Linked DNA regions of Schizosaccharomyces pombe. Each later gene encodes a partner of the first gene's protein in a complex. Each region holds a gene or a part of one and is shown on either strand. Other genes may lie near its edges.

What was found. Proteins that work in one complex are often made in the same cells at the same time.
Region 2: dad5 (region 1) and dad3 share a complex: the UniProt entries of both Schizosaccharomyces pombe proteins name them as parts of the DASH complex.

The regions. Positions count from the first base shown.
Region 1 is NC_003421.2:1,669,427-1,673,001, forward strand, and holds dad5 (DASH complex subunit Dad5), read right to left. Parts: upstream 1,437-3,575; 5' UTR 1,180-1,436; coding exon 895-1,179; 3' UTR 518-894; downstream 1-517. Other genes in the region: SPOM_SPCC417.03 (uncharacterized protein), read left to right, coding at 2,577-2,625, 2,817-2,938. UniProt on the Schizosaccharomyces pombe protein: Component of the DASH complex that connects microtubules with kinetochores and couples microtubule depolymerisation to chromosome movement; it is involved in retrieving kinetochores to the spindle poles before their re-orientation on the spindle in early mitosis and allows microtubule depolymerization to pull chromosomes apart and resist detachment during anaphase.
Region 2 is NC_003424.3:5,227,677-5,231,432, reverse strand, and holds dad3 (DASH complex subunit Dad3), read right to left. Parts: upstream 1,635-3,756; 5' UTR 1,608-1,634; coding exon 1,530-1,607; intron 1,493-1,529; coding exon 1,310-1,492; 3' UTR 533-1,309; downstream 1-532. Other genes in the region: mek1 (meiosis-specific serine/threonine protein kinase), read right to left, coding at 1-96, 137-293; Smc5-6 complex SMC P-loop ATPase subunit Smc5, read left to right, coding at 1,680-1,732, 1,801-1,966, 2,016-3,756. UniProt on the Schizosaccharomyces pombe protein: Component of the DASH complex that connects microtubules with kinetochores and couples microtubule depolymerisation to chromosome movement; it is involved in retrieving kinetochores to the spindle poles before their re-orientation on the spindle in early mitosis and allows microtubule depolymerization to pull chromosomes apart and resist detachment during anaphase.

The sequences.
Region 1 (3,575 bases):
CTAGAATACAATCCAGAGGTGTGGTGGAACAAAAAAAAGTAATTTGTAGACAGATTGGGGAATGGTGGCGCTATGGCTTCCTCAAATCAAATTTCCGTTTTCCCTGGAAGAGAGCAAAAAAAGAAGAAACTGCAAAAGAAAACAGATATTTATTGATTAGGTATGTAATAAGGAGGAGCCAAAGCTTAAAGAAATCAATTTACAAAATCGTTTGAAACGTTTAAAATTAGTACAACCTGCTTTTCTTTTTTCGTTGAGGTTGGCAAAGGGACGGCGTTGTTCACACCCATCTAAGCGAGGTCGAAGAAGCTCTCTTCGGTAAATCGTAAGGTGAAAATAAAGAAGCCTAACGAAAGGAACCACTTTTACCTTTTTTTAGCTAGCTATCCAATGATTGTGCGCTATCTCAAATAAAAACCATATGATTGGTACACTGACTGTTTTGTGAAGCGCAATTGACCAATCATTTCTGGTATCCAATTTTTGCAGTTTCCCTTGGTTACTTAGCCGACCGAGCTGACCAATGAACGAGATCACTTATTAGACGAACTAGAACACCCTCTTTTAGCCTGCTATTTTTTACAGAACTGCATCGTACAATGCAGTAACATAGGTTTCGGGAGTGCAGCCCGAGAGTCGCAAAACTCCCATAGCGTAAAATGCCGAAAAGCCGTATTCCGGATGCATAGTTGATACAACTCCAACACCCACATATTGAAAGAAGCCCCAAATACCGCATTGTTGCAGTAAAATAAGAAATAGCCCCATCTAATTAAGAAAGAGCACATTCCTACTTCCTTTCCTGTTATATTTCTCCTTCATTGGGGCACTTTGTCTCTTGTATTCTCCTTTTTATCATTGTCATTTGAGGTCTGCATCAAAAAAGTTGGAGACTCACATAGGAACGTCTTCTTCCACAGCATCTGAAGACTTTTGAATCCTCGCTTCGGACATAACGCGACCAGACGCCATCAGAAGCGAGGCCTGAAGAGCACCAAGACGTCGGATGGCTTCTGCTTGAATTGCGGTAACATGTAAGTGGTTTTCCAAATGAGACATGTTGGATTGCAACTTGGACAGTTGGTCCACCAAACGATTCATTTGAAAGCTTTTCATTTGACTGGGAGATGGAGATGAACTGCTTGTTCGACTAGTTGGCACAATGGTAGAACGACGCATGGTGTAAGGTGAAAGTGAAAGAAGGCAGACAGGTAGATGGAAGGTAAACAAACCAAACGCGTGTGTGATGGGCGAGTGCAGCTTTTAAGACACCGCACTAAAATGCAATCAACCTTCAGTATCGACAATTAAAGGAGACCATTACCCACTTGAGTGGTATTTCAATTTAACAAATTGCAGCGATTTCCAACAATACCGGCCGACGTTAGTATTCCTCAAAAATGAATAAGAGCGTAAAATAGCGTGGAAAGAGTGGCAGAAAAAGGCGACCAGCGCAGCGCACCTATCTTTTATGTAGCTGACAAGAAGGAAAAGGGGGACGGTAAATTTTTCGCTTACTGATAAAAAACCAAACTTTCGTTATATGGTTTAGCGAGACATAATTTCCAAGCTAATAAGTAATACCGAAATCGTTCCTTTTGCTAAATTTTTCGGGTCAGTTCCGTGGAAATAGGCAAAATTATTGGTAAGGATGGAATTATCAAGTTTTGCATAATTTCCATGGAAGTGTAGAAGGAGGATGAAGACGGAACTGATGAAAAGTGCTCCAAAGCTCCGATCACAATCATGTTGGATGAGGTGCTTTGTCCAAATCAAAGGAAATAAAAATTCTCCGTAAGCTCGACATGCTAGGCATCTTATGAGGAAGATAGGCAAATGAGTATTTTAAAGGAAAAAAGAAATGGAAAGAGCACGATCGTTAGACAAATTACATACGGAAGTCAATGTCCGTGCAAGAGAAGACGCAGCAGCGTGATGTGCATCCGTTGTTTTAATTATTGTTTGAATTTTCAAACTTTACTCAACTACGATCGGAAAACCTTTTTTTTTAATAAACTACTTGTCTTAATATCCTCGGGTTTTATTCAGTTTCAAAAGCATCGAGATTTCACTACACTGGGGTTTATCTTTTAGGTCCCCCACATCTATCATTTCACAGAGTTCCATTTCATATCGACGCTAGGATGGGGTTTGACATATAGTCTTCTTATATGTGAAAACATATAGCTTTTCTAATCAGGTTTTGTTTTTTCGTTTCAGATATATCGGAAGTGAGTTGACCGAACAATGGATTTTATCTTAGCATGGACAAATGTATCAATTCCCTGGAAATGATTCTCTTGGAAACAAAAGAAAGGAAACAGGGATACACAAACCAGTCGAGACAAATAAAATCCAACAGGAAAATTGCTTGGTGTAAGGAAATCGTCATAGAATGCTTTATGGGAGTTTGGGAAGTATTTGTAATATTTACATTTTTTTTCTACTTTTTTTTTTTTTAATTTTTTTAGTTAATGTTTGGCTATTTTCAAAGGAGGAATTCCTGAGTTAGATGAAAATTAGTTTTTAATTTGTTTCTTTTTTTTTATATAATCAAGTTGGTTCATTTAGTAACCATGCTTCCTCATACCGCTTTTTCTAATCATATTCATTACCATTTTATAAGTAATTTTTTCAAACATTCACTCATCCCTTTCTAATCATATACCCCATTTTTATTATAGTTTCTTTCATGAAAATGAATGACTCCTACACTCCATACACATACATCGTTTCGTTTCACAATTTTGTACGCTTCCCCATAAAACAAAGAAATACTTCCATTCACCACGCCCCTAACAAAAGAAAAAGAAAAGATGAAGCCCCTTTCCGTCTATGTATATATACCCTTTTTCATGCTCACACGTGTTTTTCCTGCGGTTTATCATTATCGCTTATGGAAGTGATAATGGATATCTCCCAGTTGCTTATTTCCTAAATCACTCATTTCTTATCCTTATTGCGCTAAAAATGATAACAGTCGCATATTTTCCTCGTCCCTGCTAATTTACGAAGAGTTGATTACTTCATTCCAAGAAAGACGTAGGAAGACGTAGGAATGTCAAATTGCGATCCTATTTTCCCAACTCATCTCGCTTTCACTTGGCGTTGTTGGCATTCCTTTGATTATGACGGACATTTACATCCGTAATAGATGATTGCATGTAAACGAATTTTGTGCTTTGTCAAAGTGCAAAAAAGAGCTACCGATAAACGGAGGACCGATTGTGTTGAACAACTGCACTGACTAACACAAATTTATCAATGGAAAAAAGGTATACGTCGGCGATGCTCTGATAACTAAATGAAGGCTTTTTTTTTTCCTTTTGCGACTCGCCTGCCGCCGCACACTTACTCATGTTGATAGCTCAAACAAATCAAAATACTAACTTTAACGCCGACAATGCTCCACTTGCATCTTGTCTATCTTGGCGATTATGGTTACCTCAAACACATACCGTCTTTTACCACTTATCACTAACAACTTTGTGGAGCGGATTTTCATCCTACCTTGATAATCATCTACCCTCGCACCAGTACCGCAGTATTTCTTGATAATGAGAACGGATGCAGAC
Region 2 (3,756 bases), on another chromosome or scaffold:
TAAAGTGCTTATAACTGGCAGTGAATTGCAGAAGCTGATAATTGCATGTATTACTCCTTCCAACAGAAACGTCTTCATATTTCTTAACATTCAGTACTAATATATGTCAAAAATCAATTGAAACAAGAGAACACACCTGTTTGTGGAGAAGATGATGAAAAAACAAACAATCGAGCGAGAACATCATCTTCAGTATATTGAGGATCCATAGTACTTTCGTCTATTTGACTCAATTCACAAAGAATTTGCGTTGATTCAGATCGACTAAGCATGGCATGTGATAAAAAGTCCATAGTTCTTGCTTTTTTTTATATACACTTTGCAAAACGGTGATGCGCGTAAGCAATAAATATATATATACTTTGTAAGACGCGCCTATCAAAACGTAAAAGCAGTGTCTATAACGGTATAAAGACAATACCCATTATTATTACGTTATACCACTATAAACCAAAGTCATTTGGTAATGCCAAAACATACACTTGCCAATATTTTGAAGGATTGGGCTTGACACTATTAAGTATATTAATAAAATATGAACCTCATTGCTTATCAAATATAGTAAATTATGAGAATCCATATTAGTACAAACAGAAGAAACTTTGGATTTCAATCTCGAAGAGAGTTGCTGGCATTTAAATGATTTTTAGTCAAATGCAAGCAGAAGAAAATTTCTCGCTGTATTCACTTTAATGATCCGAGGACAAAAACGAGTCCCAATTGTAAGTTGCTCTTCATAACGAAGAAATTTGAGTATGAATAACCATTACGGTTAGAAAAAAACAAGGAAGGAAACTTATTATTTGATTAAGAAATCAACAGCTTACAACATTGCAGATTCTCATGCAACCCCATTTTCATAACGCTTTTAGGAAAGCTTGAAAACACTTTCGAATCCAGCATGATCTAATAAAATGTTAACAGGCAATTAATCGGAAGATTCATTAGGTCAGTGTTTCCGGGGTAATAGTTTAGAAATATTTAAGGCCGGACTACTTCCAAAGGGTTGTTTTGGATAATTGATTAAAAGTGATCTAACCAACTTTTTAAAAACAATACCCATATTCGTTTCTTGGACATTTTAGCCGAAAAGTGCTTTTTAAAAACCTTCATAAGCTTATATCTTGTGCCTGTTTTTACTCTTCCAAGTAGGATGTATTTTTTTCTCTGTAAAAGTGATTGAAAAATTATCCGGTAAATATTCAGTTCCAAATATTCATAGTAAACCACACGAAAAGCACCAACAGTAGAGTTAAAGCTTAATTTATAGTTCGGTTTGACGTATTTTCAATTTCAAACAAGCACGTTATCAACTTTCATCTTGAAACATGCCGCTTTTACCTTCTTGGTTATTTTCTAGGTCTGCCAAAATCGCCCAAACACTAGCTTTGTAAAGAGTATATACAAGTCCAACCTCCTTTTCTAAATCCCTTAGCGAGTCCAGAATATTGTTGCTGGGATTATAAACCATGTCCTGTAACACCTTAACAAGCTAAATATTAACCAACTGCTGAATAAAAAAGACTTACTGTTTCTAAATTTGATGCAAGATTAGCATATTCAGCTAAAATTTGATTCTGGAGAGCTCTTTTTTCCTCTAAACTCATTGTACCTTGCCTTGCATAAGCACTTTGCTCTCAGCAAACTCCTAGTTGACTGAAATCCTCCTTACTTCCACCATGGATGGCCTTAGGCCTTCGAAACGAAGAAAAAGTAATCCTTTGTATTCAGAGTAAGTTATAGCTTTTTTCTATTTAGTATTTCTGCTTTTTATACTTCGATGATCTTAACACGCGAGAGTTACGCGTTAGGAAGTATTGTACGAATTAAATTAGTGAACTTTGTTACATACGATTATTGTGAACTGTTCCCTGGTCCATATCTAAATTTGATTATCGGTCCAAATGGGACAGGTAAGAGCACAATTGTTTCAGCAATATGCATTGGGCTGGGATGGCCCCCAAAAGTAAGTCTTTCAATATTATAAAAAATAACTTAATTGATTAACGATTTAGCTACTTGGGAGAGCTAAAGAGGCCCGTGAATTTATAAAGTATGGCAAAAACACTGCAACCATAGAAATTGAAATGAAGTATCGTGACGATGAAACGGTTACTATCACGAGACAAATAAGCCAGGATAAGAGTAGTTCTTTCTCTATTAATAGGGAAGCATGTGCCACTTCTTCAATAACGTCTCTAATGGATACTTTCAATGTACAATTGAATAATCTTTGTCATTTTTTACCACAAGACCGTGTTGCAGAATTCGCTCAGCTTGATCCTTATTCTAGACTGATGGAAACTGAGCGTGCAATTGACCATGAAGGGTTACTTCCCGCACATGAGAAGCTTATTGATTTACGAAAACGAGAAAGGGAAATTTTACAAAATAAAAACCAAGGACAATCAACATTAAATTCATTAAAAGATAGACAACAGGCACTAGAGAAGGAAGTCAATATATTTAAAGAACGGGAAAAAATCAAATCATACATCGAAATGCTAGGGTTAGCTAAAATGTTAGTTATATACAGAGAGAAAACCAATGTCTTTAACCAACTTCGTGCAGACAAAAAAAAATTAAAAAAGGATTTGAAAGACCTAGTGGAAGAATTTCAACCTATTTTGGATAAAGGTGAAGAGCTGCGTTCGGATTTAAAACTAAAAGATGATACATTTAACGATTACTCCTCCGCTTCGATGGAACTTAATACCTCAAATTTAAGAGCCAGAGCTTCTTTTTCGAATTTCATGGAGAACGAGAAAAAGCTTTATGAGAAGGTTAATACCAATCGAACACTTTTACGGAATGCAAATCTTACATTAAATGAAGCACAACAATCGGTGAAGTCATTAACAGAAAGACAAGGCCCAAGACCTTCGGATAACGGTGTTCAAGATCTACAAGAAAAGATGCAAGAAGTTAATGCGGAAAAACTTCAACATGAAAACGAGAAACTTGAGAGCTCTCATGAACTAGGTAGTATCAGAACATTGAAAGCACAAAAGCTTATTGACCTTGATAACATTAAAAGAGAGTTGTCCTACTACAACGATGCTACGAAAAGGAAACTAGACTTTATGTCTTCTGCTCCAGGCTGGGAAGATGCTTATCAGACGTATCAGTTATTGAAGGAATACGAATCTGCGTTTGAAGCACCCGCATACGGCCCAATTTATATGAATTTGAAATGTAAGGAAAAAGGGTTTGCAGCTTTGATAGAAGGGTTTTTTCGCACGGATACGTTTCGAACATTTATAATGTCAAATTATAATGATTATCTAAAGTTAATGGATCTTATCACTTCAAAAACTAAGTACACTCCTACTATAAGAGAATTCTCCAGTGAACGAAAAAAGAAGATAGAAGATTTTGAACCTCCATGCTCTCGTGAGAAGCTTCAGTCTTTCGGGTTTGACGGATATGTGATCGATTTTTTAGAGGGGCCAGAAGTGGTTTTGGTTGCTTTGTGCCATATGTTAAAAATTCATCAAATTCCGATTGCAAAAAGGGAACTACCTCCCGCATCAGTGAATGCGTTAAACAATTTTCGTCTGGCTAACGGGGATCCAGTTCTTAAAACTTACTTGGCGGGCTCATCTATCCACTTGGTTTTTCGTTCAGCTTACGGTGATAGAGAAATTACTAGGCGAACAGACCCATTACCTTCTCGCAGTATATATTTTTCCGAGAACGTTGAGATGGATTTGGTAAAGCGAAAGGAGGAGCAACTAAATGCTCAACTCTCTCAAT